7 linked regions of the Oryctolagus cuniculus genome follow. The main gene of each other region encodes a partner of the protein of the gene in region 4 in a complex. Links are inferred from orthologs where the notes say so. Each region holds a gene or a part of one and is shown on either strand. Other genes may lie near its edges.

Region 1 (4,285 bases), on a different chromosome or scaffold from region 4:
CCCACACCCTCCCCCAGGGCACACAGCAGGCGCAGTCACTCGAGCTCCTCCCCCGCCTCGCCCAGCTCCAGCCCCACACCAGCCCCAGGGCATGGACCAGGCAGTGCCGCTCTACACACATCTCTATTTTATTATGGCAAAGGTGGAAACGCCACCTTCTCCACAACAGCAACCAGTAAAATTTATCCCAAAAATAACTCAGTACAAAACAGGTCTGTTTCAGAATTTAAAAAAAAAAGAAAAAGAAAAAAAAAGCCTTTACATGAGTTCTTAAATCCTATTTTAAAACACAAAAGAAACAAACGCATCCTTGGCCACACAGCGCCGGCCGCCCTCCCGCCAGGCACAGGGACGCCGTGTCGGTCCCGCTCTGCTCGCTCGCCTCCTTTAGCTGGTGTCCATCTGCAAAGGGCAACAGAGGGGAGCTCACCAGGGGCTGCCGGGCCGGGCCGGCCGGGCCAGCCGCGCTCCCGGCCCCGCGGGACTCACCCTGGCGTTGTAGGCGTCCAGCTGGGCGTCCAGCTCCTCTGCAGACAGCTGCTGCCTGGCGCTCCTGCCGGTGCCTCTGCCCCTGCCGCGGCTGCCGCCACGCGCGCCTCTCCGGGTGCCGCCGCCGAAGGCCCCGGGGCCGCGGGTTCTGGTCACGCCGCCTCTGCTTATGCTGGGGGAAGCGGCGCTCGCTCAGACACTGGCAGGCCCCCACGGCCGCCCGGCCCGCGCGCGGCCCGCGCCTCACCTCTGTGCCGGTCTCCGCTGGGTGTCGATCTGTGACGTGACGAGCTGGATGTTCATGGGGCGGCCTGTGCGGAGAGCGAGAGGGGCCCGTTCTAACCAGCGGCTCGGAGCGCCCAGCGGCTCCACGCCCTGCGCTCCATGCAGGCGCTGGCAAGGGCCTTCGTGTGTCCAGCGCCCCCGTCGGGGAGGTGGCCTGGAGCCTGGCGGGGGCTCCGGCGAGGGCAGCGGCCCCGCCGACACCGCCTCATCCTCGGGCTGCTTGGTCAGGTGTGGTGTCCGGGGTGCTCGTGGGCGGACAGGTGTGGGCGGCCTGACGAAGAAGAACCGGTACCTTTGTCTTTACGACTACAGCCCCGCACTCAGAGGTGTACTATGGCGGTTCTGAGAAGGCTTCACAGAAGTGAGTCTTCCGGAAGGAGCTGAGGGGAGGGTGTACTTGCTGGATGGGGGTTCACAAGAGGTTGGTCCCGATGTGCGGGGCAGAATGGAAGAGAGAGACAAAGGGGCAAATGCAAAGTGTCCTCAGCCAGAGGGCAAGCCGCTGCTACGGGCCGGGGCCGCCCACTCCGCGAGCCCGTCCCGGACTCACCGTCCAAGGGCACGCCGTTGTACTGCTTCATGGCCTTCAGCGCGTCCGCCTTCCGCTCGAAGTGCACGTCTGCCGTGCCCAAGCTGCGGCCGGAGCGGTCGTAGTGCACGGCCGCCTTCTTCAGCGTCCCGAACTCCGCGAACAGCTCCTGGTCAGACAGAGAGCTGTAGCCAGGCCCCGGAGGCCCAGCGCCGTGGGGCGTCTCCCGGGGTGCGGGGGAAGGGCCGGGCCGCAGACACAGCAGCTTCCGAGAGCGCCCGGGGCCCAGGGCCGCTGCGTATCCGCGCCTCGCTGCAGGGGATGGAATCGCAAAGCCCGCGTCTGCCGTCACTTCCAGCAAACTGACTGCGCCCAGGGCGGCGGGGGCAGCTGCCCGGCCCGCCCCCGCCCCCGGCAGAGGCTGGCTCCCCCTCCCTCTCCGCCCCACGCCCGCAGCCAAGTGCTGCTGAGCCGCCTGACCCCAGGCAGGCTGGGCGTCGGAGAGGGAACCAGAGTGGGACACGCCGGCCGCGGGCACAGCGGGAAGGAGGTCACCGAGAGCGGCTTCCAGTGGACGCCAGAGACCACCTTAGAAAAAGCCAGCGCTCAGGCCCAGCGTCCGCCGGCCGTCCGAAGGCGGACTCCTACCAGTCAGCCCCAGGCAAGAGCCAGCCCCCCTGGGCTCAGAGCAAAAGGGAAAAAAAGACAAAAGAGAGTGCGGGAAACCAGAAAGGCTGCACCCACGCGGGTCCGAGGCCGCCCGGCTGCCAGCTCGCGGGGTCGGCCCGGCCCGCCTCGGCCCCCCGCCCAGCCCCGGCCGGCCGCTTACCTGGATGTCGGCGTCCGACACGCCGAAGTCCAGGTTGGACACCAGCAGCTTCCCGCCCGTCTCCACGCCGGCGCCGGCCCCGAAGCCGCTGTCGAACAGGTCGTGCTGCCACTTGTCGGGAAGCTGCTTCGGCTGCGGGAGGAGGCGCCGCGGCGGGGCGGAGCGTGAGCCTCCCCGCAGGCCGCCCCGCGCGCCCCCACGCACTTCCCGCCGCCCCGCGCGCCCCGGCCACACAAAGACCCCAGGAGGCCCCGGCGCCCGGCCGGCTCCCCCGCGCGGCCTCGCCCGCGCCGCCGCCCGGCCCGCCCCGCGCCGCCGGCCCCCGCAGCGCGCACCCCCGGCCCCGCTCGCCCCCGCCGCCCGCGGCGGCGGCCGGCCCGGCACTCACCCGGCTGTAGGGCGCCGGCCGGTTTCTGCCGCCGCCGCCGGCCGCGCCGCGGGCAATGGCCGGCCGGTTCCGGAGGGGCCCGCCGCCGCGGCTCACGCGCGCGGCCGCCTGCGCTCCGCCGCCGCGGCCGCCCTGGGAGCCGGCCCGGCCGCGGCCCCGGCCCCCGCCGCGGCCGCCCCGCTGGCTCCGGTTCAGTTTGATGATGTCGTCCAGAGACATGTCCATTTTGTCGGCCATGGCGGGCGCCGAATCGGCCTCAGCTCGATCCCGCGCGTCAGCACGCCGCGGCGTCACTTCCGGCGGCGCGCGCGGACTTCCGGCGCCGCGGCCTCGGCGCTGGCGCTGATTGGCGGCGGGCGGCGGCTGCGCGCGCGGGGCGGAGGGGCGCGTGCGCAGTGCGCGCGGAGCGGGCGGGCGCGGACTGGAGCTGCCGGCCGCGGCCGCGGTCGTTTTTATACCTTCCCGCGCGGACGCGGGCGCCGCCAACGGAAGGGCGGGGCGGCGCGCGGTCAGGTCGCACAAGGTGCGAGGGCGCCGGGGATTGGGGCGGCCGCGGGGGGCGGGGCCGGGCGGGCGAGGGGCGGGGTCGGCGGGCGGCGGCGGCCGGGGGTCGCGGCGTCTGCCGGCTCACGCGCGCCCCTCCCGGCCCGCAGGCCCCGGCGCCATGAGGGTGAAGATCAAGTGCTGGAACGGCGTGGCCACCTGGCTCTGGGTGGCCAACGACGAGAACTGCGGCATCTGCCGGATGGCGTTCAACGGCTGCTGCCCCGACTGTGAGTGCCCGGAAGGGCGGTCGCGGAGAGCGCGAGGCCGGCCCGGAACGCCGCCCGGGTGCCCCCGGGGGCGCAGGGCCATCGCCGCTGCCCTGCCCGGACGGGAGGAGGAGGCCGCACGTCGGCCCCTGCACCGAGAAATCTGCGGAGCCCCCACCGCCCTCGCCTGGGGCGCGGTGGCAGCGGCTCGCGGCGCCTGTTAGGATTTACTTATTTACTTGAGAATCCGTTACGGAGAAGCAGAGCGGGGAGAGAGGTCTGCCATCCGCTGGTTCACCCCCCACATGGCTGCAACGGCCGGAGCTGCGCCGACCCAGGGCCAGGAGCCTCCTCCGGGTCTCCCACGCGGGTGCAGGGCCCAAGCACTCGGGCCGTCTTCCACTGCGTTCCCAGGCCACAGCAGAGAGCTGGGTGGGAAGTGGAGCAGCCGGGACTCGAACCGGGGCCCATACGGGATGCCGGCGCTGCAGGCGGTGGCTTTACCCGCTGTGCCACAGCGCGGGCCCCTAACTGTGGTTTAGTTTTTCCTTCCACCCTGGCTGGAGAGAGAGCTCATCAGGAGCGATCGCCCGCCGGGACTGGGTCGGTGGGTGGGTGCCGGGCTCTGGGAGTGGATTTCTCTCCACACCCTCTTCTGTCGTGCCCCGGGGTCATCCCCTCCAGGCCGGCCCTTTGATTGGCTTTTCCTGGTAGCAGAGATTAGCAATTGGCGTTATTCAGCGTTTAGATTGCTCTGGAGGGCGGGACACAGCCCGAGGCCAGGGCTTGCACCTTTCAGAGCAACGTTGTTAACCTCGGCAAGTCCCGAGGAAGCTGCCCGAGCCCACGTCTCTAACCAAGGCAGTGTCTCTAACCGTGGCCTTGCCTGTCGTGTCTTCTCGCGTGGCCGGCACTGGGCCTGTGAGGGGCGTCCAGGCACTCAGCGCTGGCTACAGCAGGGCCTGCTGGCTGTGGCCGCAGCCCAGAGGGACCATCGCTAGGCAGGGCAGCAC
Region 2 (3,648 bases), on a different chromosome or scaffold from region 4:
GTCCACTCTGCCTGTCAAAAAAAAATAAATAAATAAATAAAAATTAAAAAAAAAAAAAAGAAAGTAATATTTGACAAAATCTATCCAAATGTTAAATGTACATCCTTTGGACTGGCACTGTGACACAGTGGGGTAAGCCCCTTTTGATATACAGGATCCCATATGGGCACCAGTTTGTGTCACAGCCACTCCACTTCTGTTCCAATTCCCTGTTAATGTGCCTAGGAAGGTGGTAGAGAATGGCCCTAGTGTTTGGGGCCCAGCCACCCATGTGGGAGATGATCCAGATAAATTCCAGGTTCCTAGCTTTAGCATAGCACAGTCCCAACTGCTGCAGACATTTGGAGAGTAAACCAGCAGATGGAAGATCACTCGCTCTCTCCCACCACCTCCCCTTGCAACTCTTCCTTTCAAATAAACCGATCTTTATAAAAACATTCACATCCTCTATGATGCAGCAAATCCGCAGCTAACAATCTGTACCATGAGGGCATTGTGGCTTAGCAGGTAAAGCCACTAACTGCAACACTGGCATCCCATATGGGTGCTAATTCATGTTGCAGCTGCTCCACTTCCGATCCAGCTCCCTGTTAATAGCCTGGCAAAAGCAGCAGAATATGGCCCAAGTGTTTGGGCCCCTGCCACCCACACAGGAGACCTGGAGGAAGCTCCTGGCTCCAGTATGGCCCAGCCCTGGCCATTGTGGCCATTTGGGGAATGAACCGGAGGATGGAAGACTTCTCTCTCTGTCTCTGACTTTCAAATAAATGAATAAATCTTAAAAAAAAAAAACACCTGTTCCATGGACATCCTCGCATAATATAAATATAAAAATAATCAGAACAAGGAATATCTAAATGCCCATCAACCAGAGACGGGTGAAATAAATTACTGTTTATTCACAAAATGCAGTACTATTAGTGGCTAGAAATAATGTTCTAAGCTGAGAATTACCAAATCTGGGTGATGGGTATATAATAGTCTATTATACTATCCTAACTTTTTTCCATACTTTAAATTTCCCAAAACAAGCTAAAAGAAAAAGAGACAGACTTAACACTTACTAAGTATCCCTACTTATAGAATCAATGTGAGGATTATTTGAGTGTATGTGTAAAATACTTAGAACTATATCTAACATAACATTTAAATTAGGATATGATGATGATGATATAGGAATATCTCCAGATGGGGAGGGCATTGTGGTGCAGCAGGTTAATCTGCTACTTGCGATACCAGCATCCCATATCAGAGCACCAGTTCAAGTCCAAGCTGCTCTGCTTCGAATCCAGTTTCCTACCAATGTGCCCAGGGAAGGTAGCACAGGATGACTCAAATGCCTGGGCCCTTGCATGTGGGAAACCCATATGAAATTCCTGGCTCTCTGCTTCATCTTGGTCCAGCCACGGTCACTGTGTCTGTTGCAGGAGTGAATCAGCGCACGGAAGATCAATCTCTCTGTGTCCCTCCCTGTCTGTCATTCTGCCTTTCAAATAAATGAATCTTTAAAAAAAAAAAAAAAAAAAAACTCCAGATGTGAAAAAAAAACAAGAGTGTCCATATCATGTGTATACATATACCTATACATACACATTCACAGACACACATTTTACTCATTCCAAAACAATGTGCAAAAAACCTCTGGGAATTCAAATGAGGTGGAAACAAAGGGTACTTAATTTTCTATATACTTCACTATGTACCGATTTGTACTTACACATCAACTGTTTTCAATGTGCTGGAGTACAAAATGGTCAAGGCAGTTGTGGGAAAATTCCCATAAAAAAGATGTTTATGATCAACCTTGTAGGATAGTTTAAACAAAAGACAAATTCTACCCAACACCTTCCTTTCTCAAAAAACTAGTTATATTATGGAAAAGAAAAGAGTAGCAGAGTTTAGAGAATTTTACATTCAGATTCTCTATACAGTCATAGAATAATCTACTACGGTGATCCTCAAAAAGAACAACAAAAACTAGGAGAACTAAACTGTCTGAGCTGGAAGTCACCTGGTCCTAATTACCTTTTAGAAAACTTAAGAGACAAACTGCTTTGCTACATTGGGACCATATACATGAGAGTAAAACAGACTCTTCAGGAAATGTATGATCCAACAGAAAGGAAAAGGCCAGTGGGAATGTGGAAGAGGCAAACAGAGTGAAACATAACACCCAATAAAAACAGGTCTGCTCTGTACTGAGATTATAGAAAAAATATAATTACACATCAATGTTTTTTTCAGGGGGTTCCTCCTCTTTGACAGGCAATTCTATGGGCTTTGGTTCTTCTTCCTAAAACCAAATGAAACAAAATGGTTAACATAAAGCTAGAGTAAATACCCAAAAGAATATCAGAACCCCAAAGTTAATCAGTATCTCAGAACCTTAATTCCCCTTGTGTGCTCCCTTAATAAATTAGCATCTCAGACCTGCCATGACTGATGCTAAGCAGTGTGGCCAAGGCAAAACAAGATCAGGTCAGTGGCTAACTTTACTCCTCCAACTCACCTCTGTTTCATCTCCCAGTACATCTTCTTCATTTGCCTCCTCTTCAGCTAAAGAATATTAAAATATTCAGGTCAAGCCCTGCTACAAAACCATCTTGATCACTGTACTACAGTTAAAATTATGATCATTTTGTTTTCCCAAAGTAAAATTTAGTATTTAAGGCAGAACTGATACAAAAACTATTTCCTACATATGAAGAAGATAAAATCAGATCTCTACTTAACATCGATATGAAACTGAACTTCAGCTACACTAAAGAAATAAATGTGATAACGTCAAACTATAAAAGTAATTTAAAAAGTAATGTGGGAGACTGAGAAGAATTCTTTTTAAAAAAGAAAAAAAAACCTAGTAGCAAAAGCTATTGTTGAAAATTAAAGATTTCTTAAAAAAAGCTAAAGACTTCTACTAAGAAAGTACACCACAGAAAAAGTTAAGAGACAAATGACAAAGAAGATATTTGTATCTAAAACTAACAAAGAAAAGCCTGTAAACCAACAGTGAATGATGGTACTCCAACAGGAAAATGTGCAAAAAAAGAAACACCCCCTCAAAAAAACACATAAGAGATTTTAATTTTCTTTTCATTTGTACCAATGAATTAGCAAAAACTAGGCCACTTAATAGTGCCAAATTTAGGTTTGTGGAGATACAAGAATGATCATGCACTGATGATGAGAGTATAGATTATATACCAATCTGGAAAAACCTGGCATGTTAGGTCACATTAAGTTTGGCCACATGAGTATACAGTAATTAGCAATCCCATTCCTGGATATATATACCAGAAAGACTCTCACATGAACATAAAGAAAACAAGTAGTTCATAATATTAACAGTACACCATGAGGATACTTCAAAAGGTTTGCAGAAAACACAAATAAAGATAAATTTATTTTGATATAAAAATTATGAAATCCATACAGTTTTTTCATAATATGCATTCTACACAACCTTTTTTTTTTTTTTTTTTTTAAGATGTATTTATTTGAGACAGACAGAGACAAAGACAGAGAAAGATCTTCCATCCGCTGGTTCACTTTTACTCCCCATATAGATACAACAGCCAGGGCTGGGCCAGGCCAAAGCCAGAAAATTCTTCCGAGTCTCATGGATGGATGCAGGGGCCTAAGCACTTG
Region 3 (3,648 bases), on a different chromosome or scaffold from region 4:
TTCAAAAGATACAAGAAAGAACATCCCACATACAAAGACAACTTAACCTACTTTCCCATAAGAATTTTCTTGTTGGGTCCTTTCCCTAGGAAGTCCTCTGGAGCTGTTCTCTTCCTTACTACTCTTGTGGGCTTGGCATCTGATGTTCTGTGGAGAACAAAATATGAGCTATTTTTGGAACTACAGATGGACAGCAGAGAAGGAATTAAAGAAAATTTAGTTATGCTGTTTTCTTCCTAAAGATGAAAACTTCATATTATGGTAGAACACTGATCAGGAAGAAGGGCAAATACAAGGAGTAGTTTATAGCATTTTTTCAATAATTAATATATCTATTTGGTCTGGGAACTTAATAAACCAAAGAGTTTTACATTTAATATGTGAAATGTGCATATGCATCTGTACATGATAAAAAATCAGGTCAAACTATTTTTCAATGATTGCCTCCTTTTTCATAAGATATGAGTATTTATTTACCTTTCTTTCACAAAACTTGGGCAGCCTTCATTTTTCCATGAGTTCCAGTTTTCTTCAGTGTTTAATATATGCTGATAAAAACAAATTATATTTGCATAACAGAATCCTATGAAATTCTCTACTTGGTACTAAGATGACTAAGTAAAATATAAATTACATACCTCTACCATCTTTGAAAATCTTTCTCCATCAGGGGGGTTTTCAGATAGTAGCTGTGATTAGAAAGAATATACTAAGCTTTCAACAACTTTCTGCATCATAGAAGTGGTTTGTAGGCAGAGAACCAAGAAGTGTTTGTGGTCTTGTACCTGAGCTTAACTTTATCCTTATTTTCCTATTTGGGGCTGAAACAAAGAAAATTCTAAATTTCCATTTTTTTCAATCATGGGTTTGTTGCATGTTGGACTTACTTGATAGACTGATTTTGTAGTATCTTCAATCCAGAGTGATTGCTCATCAGTTAAAACATAGTTTGAACTAGGGAACAAAGCAATAAAAGCACTGCATTACAGCAATGTCTATTCAATTTTGAGATTTATTTATGGTCTTGAGGAAACATAAGGTATATAATGTACAGGTTAGCGATACTGTAAATAAGTGTCAACACTGATGGAGATTTTAAGAGAAAACTCTACATTTCATCCTCAAGAGGGTTAGAAGTGAGGATATAAGGGACATAAGGAATAATAAAACATTTACTTAATCAATCATATAATGACCAAAACAGATGTTTTCTAAAGTAAGTTTAAGGAAGGATGAAAGCCCCTCAGACAATATTAACATTCCTATAGATGATACACATTCAGACAGGCATGCTCTACTCCTTTAAAACTCATTCAAAAAACAATGAATAAAAAAAACAAAACCTGAGAAAAGGCCAAAAGCAAACCCATTTATTATTACTTGCCATTAACTGAACTGTCATTGTGCATTCAGTGCTATACAGAAATTATGGATAGCCTACCATGTTGCAGGATTGAGCTCAACCATTGACTTCCCAGAACTACTACAGCACTCACAAAGCAGAGACTACAGTGGCTCAATCATTTGCCCAGGCTACCCACGTGGGGGGCCCAGAAGGAGTTCTAGGCTCCTGGCTTTGGCCTGGCCCATCCCTGGCTGTTGTGGCCACTTGGGGAGTGAACCAGCAGACAGAAGACCTTTCTCTCTCTCTCTCAGTAACTCTGCCTTTAAAATAAATAAGTCAATCTTAAAAAAAGATTGTTAAATGTTTACCATATACTACCTTAAAATTATAAGTCTGGGAGCTGGCATTGGAGTGCAGCCAGTTAAGCCACTGCCTGTGATGCTGGCATCCTTTGCTTCCAATCCAGCTGCCTGCTAATGTGCTTGGGAAAGCAGAGGAAGGAAGTACTTGGGAGATGTGGATGGAGTTCTAGGATCCTGGCTTCAGCTTGGCCCAGACCTGGTTGTTGTGGGCACTTGGGAAGTGAACCCAGATGGAAGATAGCTCATTCTGCTAACTGCTTTTTGATTATTAAATGAATAAATTTTTAAAAACTGAATATTTATTTGAAAATCGGAGTTAGAGAGAGAGAGAGAGATCTTCCATCTGCTGTTTCACTTCTCAAATGGCTGCAACGGCCAGGGCTGGGCCAGGTGCCAGGAGCTTCTTCTTGGTCTCCAATGTGGGTGCAGGGATCCTAGCACTTGGGCTGTCCTTCACCGCTTTCCCAGGCACATTAGTAGGGAACTGGATTGGAGGCAGAGCAGCTGGGATTATTACTGGTGCCCATATGGGATACGAGCACTGCAGTCGGAAGCTTAACCTGTTGTGCCACAGAGCTGGCCCCAAAGAAATCTTAAAAAGAAAAAAAAAAAAAAAGCCTGAAGGCAATGTATTGAAGCCAGCAAGTGATAACACTGGACTAAACCCCAGGAAGTAGTAAAGTTAGGTCCCTTATATAATACTGAATTTCTTTGTGTACTAAACAAAAATACTGTCACGTAACAGTAGGTTCCAATTCTACATGGACAGGACAAAAGGAAATGGTCTGTTCTGGATGGAAGCATTCACATACAGAGATCCTTATGAGGTTTTGTGACACACCAAGGAAATTAGAACCCCTCTTGGCTTCAAGCATTTTCTTTGCTTCTTTCAGTTTTAATGTCCTAAATGGCTTCACACCTTGTGAGAGAGATTAATGGCTTAGTTTGCAAGTTAGCTTAGGAGGAGGTCTGAGTGAGGTGAGAAAGGAATAATGGGAGTCTGTAGCAGAGACCTCCATCCACCCAGGAATAAAGAATTCCCCAGAAGCACAAAGTTCAGCAGGAAAGACTTATCTGAGAGTAGGTATGTTTAACACTTGCTCCTTAAAACAGATATCCTACTATCTAAAAACCCCCAGTCAGCTATACATTGCTGAAACAGAAGTATTACAGGGATGGAGCTCTTAACATCAAATTGGTGCGACACATAAAAAAATTACAACAATAAGTCCTTTTCTTTGCTGCTATTTATAAACTTCTTGCTACCAATATTAACTTACCTTTTGAATTTGACCTGCCCCTTGAGATATTGGAATAAAATGAGATACTGCAACAGGATGTGCCGACGAAAGTTACTGTCACTCAGCTGTAAATCCATCAACTACTCAAAAAACAAGCACACACACACAAAAAAGCACATTAAAATAAGTTTTGCCTAAAGATACACATTATGTTACTATAGAAATGGAAGTTTCCAATTCAACCAAAAAAATATTTTGAGAGTGCACTGCCTGTGAGGCATTACTGTACACGCCCAAGGCAGAGCAGCAGAGGTGTCATTTTGATTCCTTGGTTATTTTATGCCGTGAGATATTCATGTTGGTGGTCAAAAAGGTCCCATCTGTGGTCTTGACATCAGAACAAAATAAGGTGGAAATATAACAGTATGGCCACACTGTCTCACATATAAATAATGGCTAAAGGGGAGGTCCATTTGGAAAAATGTATTAACATCCAGGGTGATCCTCTTACAAAGTGCCTGCAACAGAGGAGGTGCTCTTAACAAGGAATGAGAGGTGGAGAATCATCTGTGAATTAAACGGTCTGTCAGATTTCAGAGAAAACTGCATCATACTTGTACTGCCACAGACTGTGGATCAGAAAGGACTTGTAGGTCATTCTGAGGAAGCTTCTTCAATAGCTCTGCATCTGGCTGGCACT
Region 4 (4,184 bases):
CTCTTCCGAAGGACCTGACGGCCGGGGCCCCCTTTCCTCCAACGGCAATGAACCGGGGGGGCCCAGGTGGCCGCCTCGCGCAGGAGCTGGGCTGGGGCTCTTGGGGAGCAGCTTTGGGGCCGGGGCCGGGCCCGGGAGGTGGCAGCAGCGGGTGGGGCAGAGCCGTCTATTTTTGGAATCTACAGAGGTCTATCTTTTCTAAGCTTCTAAGCTCCAAGATCCCTGCCCGGGCATGCCCCCCCCCTCGGGTACTTATGTTTTCAGCATCCCACAGAGTAATATATAAAAAACAAACTTTATTGTGAAAAAACAGAACAAGGTACAGGCTGCTGGGCGGGGGTGCAGGTGTCCGGCCGTCAAAAGGACAGGGAGAAGGCCCGGTAGCCCAAGTTGGTGAAGACGTCCACCCGGCAGCTGTTGCCGGCCGCAGTCAGAACCTGGCAGCAAGACGGGCATGACTGGCCTGCTCCGGCCCCGGGGCCTCCTAGGGCGCCTTGCCCCCCCAGCACCTGGGGGACCCACCTTGCACTCGGGGGCCGCTGGCTGCTGGTTCAAGCTGAGGCTGAGCAGCCCTGGGGAAGAGCCAGGCACTTGGGCCTTGAGCTCCCCGCTCAGCTGCCACTGGTTGACGCAGCGGCCCTGGCCTGCGGACAGAATCTGGGGGGCGGACGGGGAGAGAACTCAGGGGCCGCGGCTGCAGGGGGGGCCGGTGAGGGAGGCAGACGTGAGATGGGGGCCTCACCAGGTCCTGGTAGAAAGTCACGTGCTTCTGTGGTGCCCGCACGGGGAAGACGGTAGTGGGCGTGGAGGACCGCAGGTGCCACAGGGTGAGGGCTGGGCCCCCTCCGCACACCTGGGCAGGAAGACAGCAGCCCCAGCCACTCAGCAGACAGCCTGGAGCCTCCACCCCCCGCCCCCACACCCCCACGGCCTGAACCCCGCCCAGCTCACCATCCAGTCTGAGTCCGTGGCCAAGCATCCGATCCAGCGCCCATTGTGGGGCCTCGCACACTCCTGGGAGAGAGGAGGGGGAGACCTGAAGGTGCTGGGAGCCAGGAAGGGGGAGGGGAGGAGGCTGTGGCCCCGCCCTCACCTCATGCTTGTACACCTCCACCGTCTGCACCTCCTTGGCCGTGCGCAGGTCTGTGGGGAGGGAGCCATGAGGGGGGCGAGGGGCCAAAGGGCTCCCCCTCATCCGCCCCCCACCCGCCCAGCCACCGCCGTACCCCAAAGCCGCACAGCCCCATCCTCGCCGCCGGACAGCACCTCGGGGCTCCGCTCCCGCAGCGCCAGGCAGTGGACGTAGTCCGTGTGGCCCCGCAGGGCCCGCTGCAGGGAGAGCCGCAGGCTCAGGCCCGGACCCCGGGGTGCCCACCCCCCACGCTGGGACCCACCCGGATGCCAGGCCACGGCTCACGGTGAAGCTCCCGGTCTCCAGGTCCATGGTGTGCAGCTGACAGTCCCCTCCGGCCAGGATGAGGGCATTCTCCTGCAGAGAGGCAGGGGGCGCTGGGAGTGGCTGCGAAGCAGGGGCGGGGGGAGGGGGGCGCAGAGAAGCAGCAGAGCTCGTGCCAGGACAGAGGGCTCAGACCTTGGGCACCAGCAGCAGCGCGTTGATCTCCGGCACTTCCAGGCTGGTCCTGGGGGGGTGGGGGGAGGCAGGGTCAGTACCTGCACACCACCTCCCTGCCCCCACCCCCGCGGCCCTGGCTCACCTGTACGGGGGTTGACGGCGCCACAGCTCCTTGCAGCCCTGCACAGGGGGAACACTGGTGACCCCAAGGCCTCCTCGTCCCAGCCCCTCCTCCCGCTCCACACCCCTACCTTCTTGAGGATCTCTGCCCAGAGCCAGGCCTTCACCTCCCCATCCCCCGCACTGAGCAGCTGGCGATCGGTGGAGACCATGCTGTAGACGGGCCCCTCATGAGCTAGGGGGAGATGCAGAGCCTGAGCGGGCCCACCCGCACCCTCCCCCACCAGGGTCCCCTGGGCCGGATCCCACAGGCAGACCCACCTTGGAAGGTCAGCACCGGCTTCTTACTTTCTTCTTTGGCTTCTGAGCTCAAGGCGGCCGACAAGCTGGAAGCGGAGCGGGAGGGGGCGCTCAGGGGGCCGGAAGCAGAGGGCTGCGGTGCCCCCCGGGGGCAGGGGCAAGCTGAGTGCCAGGGCCTAGGCGCCGGGGGTACCTGAAGATGGCGATCTGGCCGTAGTTGTTGCCGGCCGCCAGGAACTTCCCACAGGGGGAGATGCTCTGGGAGAAGACGGTCATGTGCAGCCGCTGCAGGGCCTGGAACACCTCCATCTAGGGGGAGCGGCCGGATGAGACCCGCTTCCCTGCCCCCGCCCCCGAGTTCTCGGCCCTCTGGGGCGGCGGCCTCCAAGCAGGTACCTGCCCAGGCAGTCCCAGGGGGGCTGCAAGAGGACGGAGAGGGAGCCCCGGGCGAGCATCACGCCCCGCCCGCAAGCCTCCCCGTCAGGTGGAGCTCACGGGGCGCTGACACGGAGACGAGCTACTGCACGCAGGGCGCTGGGCACACGCGGACAGCACTTAAAAGGCGGCTCTTCCATCCCGTCCTCAGTCCCAGCCACTCCTCTGGATGTCATGTCAGCCCCACGGGGCACTCCTGGGCTCCTTTCCCGCCCTCAGCTACAGTCCGACTCCCACGCACAGCCACGCAACACAGGGCTCACGGCAGGCCCCTTTGCCGGCCCCGTCCGAGCCCGGCGTGGACTACAGAACCCCAGAAGGCAGCGCGCTCCGCGTCCGGCTCACCTGACCCAGAGGCACCGCGAGCGGCACAGCCCGCTCCATCGCCGGAACTACAAGACCCAGAGTGCCGTGCGCGCGACGCGGCCTCCCGGTTCCGGACGTGCGCGCGGGCCTCCCCTCTCTGAGCTGCCGCGCCGCCTCACCACTACCAGCCGGCCCGGCGCGAAGGCGGTCACCGCGAACCTGCCCGAACCCAGCAACAGAGGCTAGCGCCGCGGAGCCCCCCGATACCGAAGAGCGGTGCCCACGGCAGTCCGGTTACGCCCGGCCCCCTCCCCCACCCCGCGGAACCAGCCCTCCCTCCCGCCGCGTGCCGCCGCGTCTTTCGCGCCTGCGCAGAAGGCCGCCGCGGCGCGCTCCTAAAGCCACACCCCTCGCTTTAGGCCACGCCTTCGGAGACCCCGCCCCTTGCCGCCCGGCTCCCACCCCTCTGCCCGCACGACCCCGGACCCTAATGATCCTGCAAAAGCCGCTGGAGCGGGGCCCCCTGAGCCGGGCCTTGCGCGACCCCCGGGCCGTCTCGGGCACGAGTCGCGGCCTGGACGCCAGGTGAGTGCGGGGGCCCTGGGGTGGGCGTCAGCGTCGCAGGAGCTTGGGCCGGGGGCCCGGGGCTGGTGTTGCGGGAGGCCTGGGAGCAGGGTGGACCGGCGGCTCCTGGGCTGGAGCTCAGGGTCGGGACTTGGGCGGTGGGCCGCTGGTGGCCGAGGGGTCCGCTCCTGGCGAGTGCGCACTTGCTCGGGACCGGGCCACGGGGACGGGGTGCGCCTGGCCCTGCTGTTCTCTCAGCTCCGCTCTCCGCGCACAAGCGGCCAGCGGCGAGACCCACAAGGTCTCCGTCATCTGCGGCCCGCATCCGCCCGCCTTCCTCCCCATCTCCCCAGGGAGCCCGTGCGCAAGCACTCCCCGTCGGAGGAGAGCATGGCCACCCACTTCTCTCGGCTCAGCCTGCACAACGACCACCCCTACTGCAGCCCCCCCGGGGTCTCCCCCCCACCCAGGTAGGCAGGATCGCTCAAGGTCCTCGGGCCGCTCCGGGCCCTGCCTCATCGTGCTATTTTTAGCGTCCAGCCACTCTCCTCCGAGCGTGCCGTTTCCGGGTCTTGGCTCCCGAGCAGTGCCCTGGGGGCCTGGGCAGGGAGCGGGCCCCAAGTCCTCACTGAGGCTTCTTCTTCCAGCCGCCCTAGCTCGGAGGTGCTACTCTGGCGCTACCCGGGGAGCCTGATCCCCGAGGCGCTGCGGCTGCTGAGGCTGGGGGACCCCCCGACGCCCTCCCACCCTGCGACCCCAGCCGGCGACGGGATGGAGCTCTGAGTGCCCGCCTCCCCAGCTGCACCGCGGAGGGGCCAGACGCCTGCCCGGCCTTCTTGCCTCCGGACCTCGCAGCCCCACGGGGGCAGGAGCGTGGGAAGGGAGA
Region 5 (4,424 bases), on a different chromosome or scaffold from region 4:
TGAAGATCTCTCTTTCTCTAACTCTGCCTTTCAAATTAATAAATAAATCTTTAAAAAAAAAAAAAGCCTAATTAATGCCTCTCCTATTTCGAAACCTTTTCTGGCTCTTCATGGTGCACCACGGTGGACATCTGCTGGCCTTGGTTTGTCCACAGCCCACTTGCCCAACTGCATTCCTTGCATTCCTGTTCTTAGGAAGCCTCCTCTGCCACCCACTAACCTGAGTCCTGGCTGCAACTGCACTTAGCACCCTGGGTCCCAGAACACGCCACACAATCTTGCAGAGATCTTCCTCCTTCTCTCTGTGCACCTGAAGACTAAGAAATGCTCACTGATTGCTCCAGGAAGCCTCTCAGGGCTCCCCAAGGCCCTCCCTTGGGTATTTGGGATACACTATTAGAGGATTTCTCTCTCTGACTTTCTTCCCCATGTGCCTGGCGAAACGCTCCATAAATTGGTAGCTCCTTAGTCTGGCACGTAATAAGCTTATTCCCAACACAACCAACAGGTCACAGCGTGGTGGGCCTTCACCTAGGCACTTCATGGGTGTGTTCACATTCGATCTTCCTAACTTTTCAGATGGGAATTGTTACTTGTGTCCCAGATGAGAAAGTGGAGGCTCGGAAGGGAAATGACTTGCCTAGTCACCATGCTAATATGCTGAAGCTTGGGTCCATCTGCAGCTACACCGGGGCTCTAGACAGCTACATCCTCAAGCCTCCTCGTCCTGCCAGCATATCCTATGACGGTGTCATAAATATTCTGGTTGACCCTAAAATTTACAAAGATCAGAAGCTATGTTCCACGGGGCTCAGCAGTCACCACCCCTCATGGTCATCCCCAGTCTCTCCTGAGGCAGGCAGCACAGCTCCTGATCTGTAACACTGAGAGCCAACAGCGTGTCATGACGGAATCCCAACCTGAGTGGGACTCCCTACGATATCATGTCGCTATGAGTCTTAGAACAAGTCGCTTCCCTTTCCTCTGGTCTACATCCTCACAAAATCAACGAGAGCAACAGCCCCTGCCTCAGGGGTTGCTGTGGGCATGAACATGGGAGCTCCTCTGGGGAACGGGGAAAGGGCATCTGGTGATGGCCCAAGGACTTGGGTTCCTGCTACCACATGGGAGACCCAGATGGCGCTTCTGGCTTAGGCCTGACCTGGACCAGCTGTCGTGGGCATTTGGAAAGTGAACCAGTGATGGACAGTTTCTCTGTCCCTCTCTGTCAGTGTGCCTTTCAAATCAATTAATCAAATCACCTCTTAAGGGGGAAGAGGGAGCAAAGAAAAAAACTTGGGGCTTTAAATGGTCCATGAGGGGCCGGCGCTGTGGCACAGTAGTAGAGACTCTACCTGCGGTGCTGGCTTCCCATATGGGCATTCAGGTCCCAACCGCTCCTCTCCCTATCCAGCTCTCTGCTATGGCCTGGGAAAGCAGTAGAAGGTGGCCCAAGTGCTTGGTTCCCTGCACCCATGTGGGAGACCCAGAAGAAGCTCCTGGCTCCTGGCTTCAGATCAGCCCAGCTCCAGCCATTGCGGGCGGCCATTTGGGGAGTGAACCAGCGAACAGAAGACCTCTCTCTCTGTCTCTCTCTCCCTCTCTGTAATTCTGCCTCTACAATAAACAAATCTGTCTAAAAAAATAAATGGTACATGAGTGACCTTAGATAACACTGAACACCTAGGGGCCAGCATGACGGCACAGTGAGCTAAGCTGCTGCCTGCAATGCCAGCACCCCACATCACAGCAGAGCCCGGGTTTGAGTCCTTGCTGATGTGTGGTGTGCCTGGGAAGGCGGTGGAGGTCGGCCTTAAGTACTGGACCCCTGCCACCCCTGCTGCACACCAAGCACGGGAGTTCATCCCTTTCCAGTTCCTTTTTGAAACTTCTGTTTACTTCCAAGAAAACATCGGCTCCCTAGCTTGTCCACAGCTATGAACGCAACAAAAGGACGGTCTCGGAGCCTTAGACAATGAAACCTGGCCAAAGATCATTAACAATCACACTTCCCCGCTATATTTATTACTGTCATTTTCATCACTACCATCTGCATAAAAAAAGTGAAAACGGTTTTCCGTTTATTGTGGAGACTTAAACGTTTTCTCTCGAGTCAGTTTAAATTGAAAAAGAAAGAAAGAAAGGTGCCTAGATTGGGGCGGAGGATTTGGTACAATGGCTAGAACGCAGCTTGGACACCACATGCCCAGGCTGGAGTCTCGAGTCCATCCGAGCCCAGGTTCCTGTTCACGCACAGCCCGGGAAGCAGCAGGTAACGGCAGCTCCGGCCCTGCCACCCACGCAGGCCCAACCCCAGCTGCCGAGGGCATTTGGGGAGCTAAGTGGCAGGTGGGGGGTTTTATTCCCTTCCCTTCATTCTCTCTCTTTCAAATAAACAAATATTTTAAAATGCTAAAGTGAGTAAACAATAATTAGTGATTCGACAAAGCCACAAAAGTGCGACCCCAAATACTGAAAATGCGGTAAATCCTGGCTCTGGCAAAGCAGGAGGCTGTCCGGCACGCGGACGCGCGTGGCCAATGTGCACTCTTAGCACCAGCACCGCCACCATCCCCATCAGGCTCCACACGTCCCTCATCACCAAGCGGCTACAACCCAGACCCCGAGGATGCGGCCGCGAGCATTTTCCAGATGAGCAAACAGCGCCCCACGGCGCCTACCCGGAGAGCAAGGTCAAAAAAAGCCCGCCGCCCAGGGGCACCTTTCGGGCAGTCCGCACCTCAGTCCCAGAACGCCCGGCCCTGCCCGCCGCCCAGGTCGCCACCCAGGTCGCCACCCTGGTCCCCTCCTCACCGAACAGCTCCGCAAACCTGTCTCTGGAAACGAGCCACTTCCGGCGCCTAGGTGATGACGTTCCTTGCACCATAGAGAACCGGAAGAAGGGAAGGAGCGGCCTTCCGGAAGGCGGGCGCGGAGGCCGGAAGCGAAACGCCAAGTTCCCGGATGGCCGTGGATGTGCTGCGCCGGGGGCGACATCGTGGCGAGCGACTAAGCTGTGGGCGCTCTAGCCGGCCAGCCACCCCCGGCTGCTCTCGAACACAGGGAAACCGAGACCGTAAGGACAAAGACTCATACGTCTCGTTCACTTTCCCAGGTGCTACAGCAGTGCCTAGCAACGAGCGAGCGCTCTGCCCAGTCGTAGAATGAAGGGGTTGCCGCATGCCCACGATAACGCAAGAGCTGGTAGCGCCAACACTTGGACCCTGGTGAATTCGACTCCATAACCTGGCTTTGTAACCACCGTTGTGTTCACCGTAACATGTCACATCACCAGATTCTCCATTTTAGGCCCGATTTGACCGGGACAGTATCACAACTCGAAGGCAGTATTTGAAAGCATCGAGTGTTTCCTACACTTGGCATGAACTGTGCAGCAGGGCCCAGGATTTTTGGTGCAGGTCCTCAACCGGAGCTAGAAACACCTGTGTCAAGTCGGTGTTTGTACAGGGACAGTTCCTTCTCCTGCCCTGGGGCGAGGCTGAAGATGCCTCCCTGAGCCTAGCTCGGGTCGCAACGTCCTCCAGGGCTGGGGACATCAGCCATGTGGGACAGGGAAGCTGGCCAGCCCCGCTCTGCTCTGCCCAGCCCCGCTCTGCTCTGCCCAGGCCCGCTCTGCTCTGCCCAGCCTCGAGCATCCGCTCAAGTTCCTTGCAGATGAAGAACAGACACGGTGACTTATAGTAAATATTTAATTGGTTCCTTCAGCCACCCCAGTACTTGTTTTCATGGACAGGAGGCAGATCAAGTTCCCGGGGGGTTCACGAGGTATGGGGGTCACAGAGGAAGCTCCCAGGGTCGCTACCCAACTCCACGCCGGTGTCCCTATGAGGGCTGGGCTGGCAGCTGTCGCGTGAGGGGGAGGAAACTAGGGGGCCCTGGCCTGTGCTTGAGCCTGCAGGAAGGGACAGGTGAGCCTCTCTCCATCCGTCTAGTACTCACGAGCCCCTCCCCCAACGGTCTTCTGTCACTCCGACCTGTCTTCCAAATTTTGTGGCTCAAGAACCAGGGTCAGAACTCTACGTTCCAGCTTCTGGGGCTGGCTCCCGCCCCCACGTCCTTCCTCTCCCGTGCCATCGCTCTGCCTCTCTGGGTGCTGATCTGAGGGTTTTGGCAGTTCCAGACTTTTCCACAGCATGAGGGATTTGGCTCAGACTGTGCAGCAAGTGGGTGGTCCAGTGGAGACTAGGGAGTCCTGAGGGTGTGGCCTGGCCTGGCCTCCTCCCTTCCCACCCCACTTCGAACCATTGGTCGCACTCCCTTTTGCGCAACTAAGCTAAGCCAAGGTTTACTGAGATGCTAACTGGGGACGGACAGCTGTGAGGTGAGGGATCCCAAGGGAATGTGTGAAGACATGAGAGGTTCTGATCTGCGTTCAGGGAGATGAGGAACTACTGGCCGGGGAA
Region 6 (4,325 bases), on a different chromosome or scaffold from region 4:
ATTTAACACTGGTTACTGAACACAGTGATATATCAGACTCAGTGCAAAGCCCTTTCCAACTTTAATGCTCAAAACAACCCCCTGAGGGGAATTCTCTATCACTCCCATTTACAGAGAATGAAAGTGAGGCTCAAAGAGGCTAGTTAACCCATACATACATGGTCAGATAGCTTGGAAGTGCTGTGGAGTGGGGATTCCCTTGGCCTCCCCAAACGTGGGGGGCACTTGACTGCAGGCAGCCATCTCCCCAAGTCCCATCTGACAAAACCGACCATTTCTCTACAGTTTTCTACCTGAATAAACAACCCAACTTGTACTAGTAGGCATACTCAAGTCAGATACCCCGGATCAGCCTCGACGCCTCCCCTCACATGTGCTCATTCAACGAAGCCCTACCGTTCTACCTCACGCGTCCTCTCCGGGTGGGCATTCCATGACCTCTCACCAGGACCACCACCCTGGTAGTGCAAAGACAACATGTGTAACAGGCAAAAGCAAGAACTCTGAAGCCAGTTTGCCTGGGCTCTGTAACTTACTACCTCTGTGCCTTTGGCCAAGGTAACTTCTCCGTGTCTCATTTTCATCTGCAAAGCAGGGATAAGAAGGAGGACACTGCTCAAAGCACGATTTAAATACTATGTAAAAATCAGTGAGGGGAAAAGACACTCATGTAGCTCCTCACTTTCCTTGCCCCTTCTCGTTCACGTGTGTAGTGCAAAGCTGATCCCACCACACCAATGGTACAGCCTTTTCATGTTATTCTATTGCCCTGCAAAGTGTCTGGCTCCCAACTTTCTAAATTTTACACAATACTATAATTCTTGATTTACTTCAACACTTAGATGCCTCTACACAAGTGGATTCTCACACAGAACTCTAGTCTAGTTACAGCTGTTTTAGTCTCCACAACTAGGATGAAGAAAAATTCTTACAGGGAGGTGTTTTGATCTGTTACAGGGCCCGGTGCTGTGGTGCAGCAGGTTAATGCCCTGGCCTGAAGCGCCAGCATCCCATATGGGCCCTGGTTTGAGTCCCAGCTGCTCTACTTCTGATCCAGCTCTCTGCTGTGGCCTGGGAAAGCAGTAGAAGATGGTCCAAGTCCTTGGGCCCCTGTACCCGCGTGGGAGACCTGGAAGAAGCTCCTGGCTCCTGGCTTTGGATCGGTGCAGCTCCAGCCGTTGTGGCCAATTGAGGAGTGAACCAGTGGATGGAAGACCTCTCTCTGCCTACCCTCTCTCTGTGTAACTTTGGCTTTCAAATAAATAATAAATAAATCTTAAAAAAAAAAAAAAAGAATCTGTTACATGCCCCTACAGCTCTCAACCATGTACTTTCCCTGTGTGAACACTTGCCCGTTTTAGAACGAATTCTCCAATGCGTTTTTTCTATCAGAATCTAACCTCAGTGTGGGGAAAAGGCCTTGCCTATTGGTTCTTGGCTTCTGTTTTGAACAAGGCCTCGCAAGGGGTAGAATACATTCTCTACCGAATAAAAGAAACCGGAAGGAAAGGAAGTAAAAATTTCCATGGAGTCCCTGGGCCTTTCAAAGCCTCCCACCTACACTACGCCTGTCAGCCCACAAGTCTGGGACCAGAGCTGTTGTTTCCATTGTCTGATCCTTACTGTAGGGACCCTACGGGTCCTCAACTCTTCAGAGCTGGACCGTCCATAGGCAACTATAGTTCCTGGTCACCTTCTCCACAAATAAACCCCAATACCGCAGATATCCATGGGCCTCTTTCTTTCCTAACCAAATACCTTTTAGGTTCCCCGTCCAGTCGCCCATCATGGCTGTTCACCCTTCCCCAAATCCAGTTTCCTTCTTTCTGCTTGCCGGTACAACGGGTCCACAACCCGCCCTCCTTGATCCACACCCACACGCCCCCTTTACCGACCTGATCCCTGTTCAGGCTCCTTACCTAGTAACCCTAGCACCCAAGTAACACTTTGATTGCCCTGCAAGGGCCTCATCCACATCTACTCCTTCCAGATCACGTCTCCAGCAACCTGTCCCAACCTCAAATCCACTCCTCCTTGAAGCCCTCATGGCATTCCACCCACAGGTTCCACGCGCCCTTCGCCATCTGCCCAAAGGACCCCTTTCAGAGGTCGTCTCCCTCTGTAGCCACTTCATATCCCGAAACTTCTAGGGCTCCCACTCCATTCCAGACACCCAGCCCCGCGCCATCCCCACCCCCTGGGCTCCGCCAACCCGGGACTCCATCATGACCCGGGACAGCCGAGACCCCGTCTCCCGCCCGGCCGCCACGTGCGTTCGCAGCCCCCGGCGACCCTCCCGGCACACCCTCCACGGGCCCCGCGCACCCTCGGCGCGCGGACCAAGGCGCCCAGGGGGCCTCTGCCACTAGGGCGAAGGGCTAGGTGAAGCGGCCGGCAAGGCCTGGGGCTCCTGGGATAGATCGGCAAGGCCGAAGGGCTCGGCGGTAGCGGCCGGGGAGGCCGAGGGGCTCCCGAAAGCGCCGTTCCCCGCCGGGGGGGTCTCAGGGAGGCCGAGGAGGGCTGGGGAGCGGACCGGGGCGACTGCGAGGGAGCCTCACCGTCTGTCACGGCTCCCATGGCGTGCGCGGCGGCGGCGGCGCAAGCTGAGGCGGCGGTTGGCGGCGGCGGCGGAGGTCAAACTCCCACAATGCAGCCGGGTAAACAGCCATGGAGGAGGAGGCGGCGGCGCCCGCGGCCGCCTGCTCCGACGCCTGAGCCGCGCCGCGCCGCCGCCGCCGCCGCTGCCGCCGCCGCCGCGGGACCCGCGCCCCCCGCACTCCCCGCGGGAGGCTGCGGCCGGCGCGTGTGGGGTCGAGGCCAGGCGGCCGGCGGCGGCCCCGGCTGCAGCCCCGGCCCCCGCCGCCCCCCCTGCCGCCCCCGCCCGGCCCACGCCCAGAGGCCGCCCCGGAGGCCGCCGCCAGCCGCCAGGTGAGCTCGCCCGGGCGCCGCCGAGGCTGCGGGAGCGCGGCGGGGGCTGCAGGGCATTGAGAGTCCCTGCGTTTCCCCGGGGAAGGTGACCGCGGCCGTCCCACTGCCCCATCCTGCTGGGCGGGGGTGGGGGGTGCGGGCTGGAGGTCTCGCTCCCTTGGGGGTGAGGAGGGCGTGGGGGCGCCTGGAGCCGCCTGAGCCTGGGAGACGTGAGAGGAGGCCACGGAAGGGGCGCGGCGTTGGGGGTTGGGGGAGGCTCGGTGGTCCTTGCGAAGTTGGCGCCCACGCGCGCCGAGGCTGGTCTCGAACGCGGGCACTTGCGCCGGGCGCCGCCAGCAACCAAAGAAGGCCCCGAGTTCCAGGTCGCGCGGTTCCGGCCCTGGCGGCCGCCCCCTTCCTTCCTGGGCTCTGGCGAGTGCAGGGGAGAGGGTGAAAGAGAAACTTGTGGACCTCCGGGAGCAGTTCGCGGAGCCACCGGGAGCGTCGTCCTGGCCCGGCACCCAGACTCCCCCGCCCCCAACCCCTCCCCGAGCCGGAATCCCGTCGGTGAACGCGATTGGGTGCTTTTATTTATTTTTTCCTTGCATTTTCGAAAACTGTCTTAATGTGACTGTCCCCCCTCTTAAGGGGAAGTTGAAGAGAAGGGGCGGGGGGGGGGGGAGCGAGAGGTGTGTTCTGGGAGAGACGTTGCCTTGTGTGTGAATTACACATTTCCGGAGCACCCTGCAGATTATATTGGCCTCTCTTCCCCAAAGTCACTGATTCAACTTCGACGAACTTCTCGTAAAAGGCAACGTTGAAGTGGCGGTGGATGAGAGGCGGGCAAGCAAACTCAGGCACCAGTACAGCCAGTTGGAGCTCCAGTGAAACGCACGCTTAGCCCCAGAAGCACGTCTGAATTTTGAATGTAGCCTTGGATAGTTTATGGAGGCACCTGGTTAGTTTCCCAGTTGTCCGGCCCCTGTCCCGTGCACCCTGGGTCTTCCTACCCGGGATGAAGCAGTTGTGTAGGATGAATTTGGTTACTGCCCTGATTGACTGCGTTTACTCAACTTAAGCTCACTCTTTCCCGCGCCAGTGCTTTCAAAGAGGAAGATTTGTCAGTCTCAGTATCTGACAGCGAAGCTAGCTACCCCTTAGCTAGAAATCGGTAAATGTAAATTAGATTCCTATTCTGTGAGGCCACTAACGTTAATAATACCATTACTGTACTATCCAGAATTAGTGCTCAAGAATTTGACTTTCGGCACCAAGGCAAAAATTGCCTTGGGTAAAGAGTCTCTGGCATGACCTGCCCTCCCCCGGCGTGTGCAGCCTCCCTGGTTTGGGAAGAATATTGGCCTAAAGGCTGGGTTATAAGGCATCAAACCCTGCCTGTTTCCCTGGATTTAGGACAC
Region 7 (4,223 bases), on a different chromosome or scaffold from region 4:
CAAGTGAGCCATGGTGCCGGCCCCTGAATATATTCTTTTGTTTAGAAAATTTTGTCTTAGAATGGGAGAAATTATTTGCAAACTACGTAACTGATACAAGATTAATAACCAGAATATATAAAGAGATCAAGAAACTCAACAACAACAAAACAAACAACCCAGTTAAGAAATGGGCAAAGGAGTTAAACAATCATTTTTCAAAAGAGGAAATCCAAATGGCCAACAGGCACGTGAGAAAACACTCAAGATCACTAGCTTTCAGGGAAATGCAAATCAAATCCACAATGACATTTCACCTTAACCCCCTTTAGAATGGCTTTCATACAGAAATCACCAAACGACAAAATGCTGGTGAGGATGTGAGGAAAAAGGTACCCTAATCCACTGTTGGTGGGAAAGTAAACTGGTAAAGTCAGTATAGAAGACAGTATGGAGATACCTCCGAAATCTGAATATGGACCTACCATATGACCCAGCCATCCCACTCCTGGGAATTTACCCAAGGGAACTGAAATCAGCAAATGAACTCTATCTGTACCCGCAGTGTATTGCAGCTCAATTCACAGTAGCTAAGATATGGAATCAACTCAAATGTCCATCAACTGAAGACTAGATAAAGAAATTATGGGATATGTACACCATGGAGTACTACACAGCAGTAAAGAAAAAAATCCTGTCACTTGCAACAAAATGGATGAGACTGGAGAACATCATACTTAGTGAAATAAGCCAGTCCCAAAAGGACAAATACCATATGTTCTCCCGATCTGTGATAACTGTTAGAGCCCCTAAAAGTTTATCTATAGAAGTGAAATTGACACTTGGAGATGCAACGACTTTGAACAGCACTTGTCTCGATTGTCTTTCTTCATACTACTTTTTGAACCGTTTTCTTAGTATAGAGTTAATCATGTGTATAAAGTTAACAGGAAATAAATCTTAGTGAAAAATAAAACTGGGCATAAGAGAGGGAGGAGGAAGAGGGGTGGGAGGGAAGGTATGGTGGGAAGATTCACTATGTTCCTAAAGTTGTACTATGAAATGCATGAAGTTTGTATTCCTTAAATAAAAGATTTCTGGGAAAACAAAAAATCGCGGACTCCTCCCTCCTCCCGGGCCCTTTTTCAGGACAATATCACCCCAGTCCTTCTCCAGGGCCTCTGCTCCAGGGGGAGGGTTAATACTAGAGCAAGGGCATTTACTGATAGGTAAACTGCTTGCAAGGTTACCGTGGGTTTCCTTCTTCAGTTAAACAGGGATACAAATACACCCATCTAGAGACAGCCAAGCGAACCACGCACCCAAGCTGTATAGGAGTCGTTAAGCGTGAAGCCAGTTTACAGCGGAATCGCGCCTGCCAGAAAGCGCGCAGCCTGGCTCATGTTGCACGCCGGGATTTGTAGTCCTTTCTGGTGCTGGGGCATGGTGCGCCTGCGCAGAGCAGGGTGCGCCTCCGGGCGCATGCGCGCAGTGGCGGCGCCAGGACTGATTGTGCCGGAACCGCGGTGGCGGAGTTGTGGTCTCTGAGTTCGCCATGGCGGTGCCCCCGGCTGCCATGGGGCCTTCGACGCTGGGCCCAAGCGGGCCGGGTTCGATGGCCCCCTGGTGCTCAATGAGTAGCGGCCCTTCGCGTTACGTGCTCGGGATGCAGGAGCTGTTCCGGGGCCACAGCAAGACGCGCGAGTTCCCCGCGCACAGCGCCAAGGTGCACTCGGTGGCCTGGAGCTGCGACGGGCGTCGCTTGGCCTCGGGGTCGTTCGACAAGACGGCCAGCGTCTTCCTCTTGGAGAAAGACCGGTTGGTGAGCCGCCCGGGCCCGGCCTAGGCCGGAGACAGGGGCATTGATGAATTGAGGTGGGGGTGGGCGAGGGGCAGGGTGGAGGTGGAGTGGAAAGTGAGCGTGAGGGTAGGAGAGGAGGGAACGAGGAGATGAGGGTGTGTGGGGGTGTGATGGGGTGGATGGGAAGGGTGTGAGGTGAGGGGAACAGTAGGAAGGCTTCGTGTGGCCGTGAGGAGTGGCCGGGGGCAGTGGTGGTGGTGCTGGTGGGGTCCCTGTGGTAGGGAGGGGCGCCTTTGAAAATGATTTGGGTCTTGTGGGTTGGGACATTAGGGTAGAGTGAGGGTGGCGAACCAGAGAGGCGGGGAGAGGGCAGAAGCTCAGAGCAGTTCAGAGTGATCAGGGAGGAGGACGGGCTTGGAGGGGCTGAGCGCTTGTTGCTAGTGAGAGACCTTGGTTTGAATAAAGGTGGGTTACACATGCGGGCGGCTGTGCCTGGTGGAAATGACACGTGGATTCTGTGCTTCCAGGTTAAAGAAAACAATTACCGGGGACATGGGGATAGTGTGGACCAGCTGTGTTGGCATCCAAGTAATCCCGACCTCTTTGTCACGGCATCCGGGGACAAGACCATTCGCATCTGGGATGTGAGGACTACGAAATGCATTGCCACCGTGAACACCAAAGGTGACCGTGCCCAGGGACGGCAGGAAGATAAGCCTGTGTTGGTTCTGCACCCTCTGACGCTCACCTTGTATTGCGTATCGGAAGTAATCCAGAGGTGATTTAAAGTATCAGGAGAGTGTGTAAAGGCTCTGTGAAATGCCATCGCCTTGTTGTGAGGGACTTACAACACGTCCATGGGGTTTTGTATCTAGGGGTCCTGGAACCAGTCTCCTGTGGCTGCTGAGGGACCCCCGTGTCTTCCCCTGTGCCTGGCATTTTGCTAAGTCTGGGGTATCCTGAACTGAACAAGACACTGTCCAGCTCCTAGGGCCTCAAGGTTAAGGGGAGGAGAGAGACTTGCGTGAATAGGACTTGTTCATCTTGTAGCATGGTGGACACCCCAGGTGAGACAGGGAAGCCTCCTGGAATTCCAGTACAGTTCTGAATGGCTGTAGGAATTTCGTGGCCAGAGTGCAGTGTGTAAGGAGGGAGGTGGTTCCCGGAGGAAACCCTCTAATGAAGGGGTGAGGCCTGCATGGCCCTGGTGGCCTGGGAGAACAGGACTAGAGCGATGTGCAGTACATTTTTGGCCAGGTATTACCTTGTAAATCATGAAACCGTGACTTAATGCTAAGATATTATTGATAGGAGATTTATCAATATTTCTTATGCCATTAGGACAGAAAGTTGCCAAATAACCTTGGTACCCCACGATTTTTGAGATGCTTCTTGATAAATTTTAAAATGCATCATAAATATTAAGTTGTGAAAATGTACATTTTAGAATAAAGGTGATCGGCTGGCGCCGTGGCTCAGTAGGCTAATCCTCCACCTTGCGGCGCCGGCACACCGGGTTCTAGTCCCGGTCGGGGCGCCGGATTCTGTCCCGGTTGCCCCTCTTCCAGGCCAGCTCTCTGCTGTGGCCCGGGAGTGCAGTGGAGGATGGCCCAAGTACTTTGGGCCCTGCACCCCATGGGAGACCAGGAAAAGCACCTGCCTCCTGCCTTTGGATCAGCGCGGTGCGCCTGCTGTGGCGGCCATTGGAGGGTGAACCAATGGCAAAGGAAGACCTTTCTCTCTGTCTCTCTCACTGTCCACTCTGCCTGTAAAAAAAAAAAAAAAAAAAAAAAAGAATAAAGGTGATGAAGTTTTTAAATTTTTATTTATTTGAGTGGCGGAGCGACAGAGAAAGGGAGAGCATGGGTGAGTGAGGGAGGGCTTCCATCTGTTGGTTCATTCCCCAGATGTCGGTGAAGGCTGGTCAGGAGCCTGGAATACAAGACAGGTCCCTCGTGAGAGTGGCTGGAACAGAGCCATCACCAGTGCCTTCTGCCGTCGGCATTAGTGAGAAACTAGGGTTCGGAGCCGAAGGCAGGAATCAGACCTAGGCACTCTGGGGGGTGCAGGTGTCTTAGCCATTAGGCTGAGTGCTTGCTCCCTGAAATTCTCGATGGATGTGTTCAGCATGGTCACTGGACCCGACTTAGACCTAGAGGTGGAATGGTGTAGTGCTTGCTTCACACAGCTGGTGATACGTGTGTGATTTAAGTTGTATATGGATGGACATTAAAAATTGATTATGTATATATTTTGATGTAAAAAGAAAACTAATCTCTAGGATTTATTGTTTAATTGAAACATTATTTTTGAGTCAAATTTAGAAAAAGTCTTGAATAAAGAGAAGTGTAGCTTTTGGAGTTTGAGACATGATGTAAGAAAGAATAAGAGGCTTTGAGGGCAAATACAGTTTAAATCTTAGCTCTGTGACTTCCTGGCTTTG

The links.
Region 1: THOC6 (region 4) and ALYREF share a complex: the UniProt entries of both Homo sapiens proteins name them as parts of the transcription/export (TREX) complex. The link is inferred for Oryctolagus cuniculus from reciprocal best matches to the Homo sapiens genes THOC6 and ALYREF.
Region 2: THOC6 (region 4) and SARNP share a complex: the UniProt entries of both Homo sapiens proteins name them as parts of the transcription/export (TREX) complex. The link is inferred for Oryctolagus cuniculus from reciprocal best matches to the Homo sapiens genes THOC6 and SARNP.
Region 3: the proteins of THOC6 (region 4) and THOC1 are in contact, whole or in part, in a cryo-EM structure (PDB 7APK), measured with the Homo sapiens proteins. The link is inferred for Oryctolagus cuniculus from reciprocal best matches to the Homo sapiens genes THOC6 and THOC1. Residues at the interface, in NP_001334633.1 of Homo sapiens: Leu57, Ser58, Ser59, Glu60, Pro312, Glu313, Lys315, Thr330, Asn331, Gly333, Tyr334, Ala336; in NP_005122.2 of Homo sapiens: Ser227, Pro229, Ile230, Asp231, Tyr232, Leu234, Arg236, Val270, Ser273, Tyr274, Asp309, Leu312.
Region 5: the proteins of THOC6 (region 4) and THOC5 are in contact, whole or in part, in a cryo-EM structure (PDB 7APK), measured with the Homo sapiens proteins. The link is inferred for Oryctolagus cuniculus from reciprocal best matches to the Homo sapiens genes THOC6 and THOC5. Residues at the interface, in NP_001334633.1 of Homo sapiens: Val5, Pro6, Ala8, Val9, Pro10, Leu11, Gly12, Gln13, Val16, Phe17, Leu20, Gln21, Leu23, His24, Met25, Thr26, Phe28, Tyr45, Tyr80, Asp94, Glu125, Val126, Pro127, Glu128, Asn130, Gly146, Tyr170, His172, Glu188, Trp222; in NP_001002877.1 of Homo sapiens: Pro406, Gly407, Asp538, Ile539, Val540, Asp541, Ala542, Gly543, Leu544, Ser575, Ile576, Ser593, Asp596, Arg599, Glu602, Gly603, Asn606, Val607, Tyr609, Arg660, Phe662, Arg663, Gly664, Pro665, Ser666, Arg667.
Region 6: the proteins of THOC6 (region 4) and THOC7 are in contact, whole or in part, in a cryo-EM structure (PDB 7APK), measured with the Homo sapiens proteins. The link is inferred for Oryctolagus cuniculus from reciprocal best matches to the Homo sapiens genes THOC6 and THOC7. Residues at the interface, in NP_001334633.1 of Homo sapiens: Asp229, Trp232, His245, Thr252, Gln268, Asp269, Gln284, Leu285, Ser286; in NP_079351.2 of Homo sapiens: Lys110, Arg113, Lys114, Gln117, Glu118, Ala121, Leu122, Val125.
Region 7: THOC6 (region 4) and THOC3 share a complex: the UniProt entries of both Homo sapiens proteins name them as parts of the transcription/export (TREX) complex. The link is inferred for Oryctolagus cuniculus from reciprocal best matches to the Homo sapiens genes THOC6 and THOC3.

The regions. Positions count from the first base shown.
Region 1 is NC_091448.1:1,021,256-1,025,540, reverse strand, and holds ALYREF (THO complex subunit 4), read right to left. Parts: upstream 2,911-4,285; 5' UTR 2,758-2,910; coding exon 2,521-2,757; intron 2,265-2,520; coding exon 2,133-2,264; intron 1,473-2,132; coding exon 1,325-1,472; intron 801-1,324; coding exon 737-800; intron 662-736; coding exon 490-661; intron 403-489; coding exon 388-402; 3' UTR 111-387; downstream 1-110. Other genes in the region: ANAPC11 (anaphase-promoting complex subunit 11), read left to right, coding at 3,185-3,293. UniProt on the Homo sapiens protein: Functions as an mRNA export adapter; component of the transcription/export (TREX) complex which is thought to couple mRNA transcription, processing and nuclear export, and specifically associates with spliced mRNA and not with unspliced pre-mRNA.
Region 2 is NC_091442.1:58,622,735-58,626,382, forward strand, and holds part of SARNP (SAP domain-containing ribonucleoprotein), read right to left. Parts: intron 2,557-3,648; coding exon 2,510-2,556; intron 2,294-2,509; coding exon 2,226-2,293; intron 1-2,225. UniProt on the Homo sapiens protein: Binds both single-stranded and double-stranded DNA with higher affinity for the single-stranded form. Specifically binds to scaffold/matrix attachment region DNA. Also binds single-stranded RNA. Enhances RNA unwinding activity of DDX39A.
Region 3 is NC_091441.1:56,798,231-56,801,878, forward strand, and holds part of THOC1 (THO complex subunit 1), read right to left. Parts: intron 3,089-3,648; coding exon 2,988-3,088; intron 955-2,987; coding exon 888-954; intron 690-887; coding exon 639-689; intron 549-638; coding exon 478-548; intron 148-477; coding exon 52-147; intron 1-51. UniProt on the Homo sapiens protein: Component of the THO subcomplex of the TREX complex which is thought to couple mRNA transcription, processing and nuclear export, and which specifically associates with spliced mRNA and not with unspliced pre-mRNA.
Region 4 is NC_091450.1:32,413,913-32,418,096, forward strand, and holds THOC6 (THO complex subunit 6), read right to left. Parts: upstream 2,909-4,184; 5' UTR 2,813-2,908; coding exon 2,774-2,812; intron 2,765-2,773; exon of another isoform or gene 2,390-2,764; intron 2,303-2,389; coding exon 2,187-2,302; intron 2,080-2,186; coding exon 2,015-2,079; intron 1,929-2,014; coding exon 1,825-1,928; intron 1,754-1,824; coding exon 1,716-1,753; intron 1,641-1,715; coding exon 1,592-1,640; intron 1,490-1,591; coding exon 1,418-1,489; intron 1,330-1,417; coding exon 1,227-1,329; intron 1,144-1,226; coding exon 1,094-1,143; intron 1,015-1,093; coding exon 952-1,014; intron 854-951; coding exon 743-853; intron 658-742; coding exon 523-657; intron 438-522; coding exon 357-437; 3' UTR 277-356; downstream 1-276. Other genes in the region: BICDL2 (BICD family-like cargo adapter 2), read left to right, coding at 1-18; HCFC1R1 (host cell factor C1 regulator 1), read left to right, coding at 3,225-3,319, 3,652-3,768, 3,946-4,081. UniProt on the Homo sapiens protein: Component of the THO subcomplex of the TREX complex which is thought to couple mRNA transcription, processing and nuclear export, and which specifically associates with spliced mRNA and not with unspliced pre-mRNA.
Region 5 is NC_091452.1:22,917,781-22,922,204, forward strand, and holds the start of THOC5 (THO complex subunit 5), read right to left. Parts: upstream 2,935-4,424; 5' UTR 2,815-2,934; intron 773-2,814; exon of another isoform or gene 1-772. UniProt on the Homo sapiens protein: Component of the THO subcomplex of the TREX complex which is thought to couple mRNA transcription, processing and nuclear export, and which specifically associates with spliced mRNA and not with unspliced pre-mRNA.
Region 6 is NC_091441.1:85,848,427-85,852,751, reverse strand, and holds the start of THOC7 (THO complex subunit 7), read right to left. Parts: upstream 2,804-4,325; 5' UTR 2,578-2,803; coding exon 2,559-2,577; intron 1-2,558. UniProt on the Homo sapiens protein: Component of the THO subcomplex of the TREX complex which is thought to couple mRNA transcription, processing and nuclear export, and which specifically associates with spliced mRNA and not with unspliced pre-mRNA.
Region 7 is NC_091437.1:62,188,735-62,192,957, reverse strand, and holds the start of THOC3 (THO complex subunit 3), read left to right. Parts: upstream 1-1,406; 5' UTR 1,407-1,534; coding exon 1,535-1,801; intron 1,802-2,307; coding exon 2,308-2,464; intron 2,465-4,223. UniProt on the Homo sapiens protein: Component of the THO subcomplex of the TREX complex which is thought to couple mRNA transcription, processing and nuclear export, and which specifically associates with spliced mRNA and not with unspliced pre-mRNA.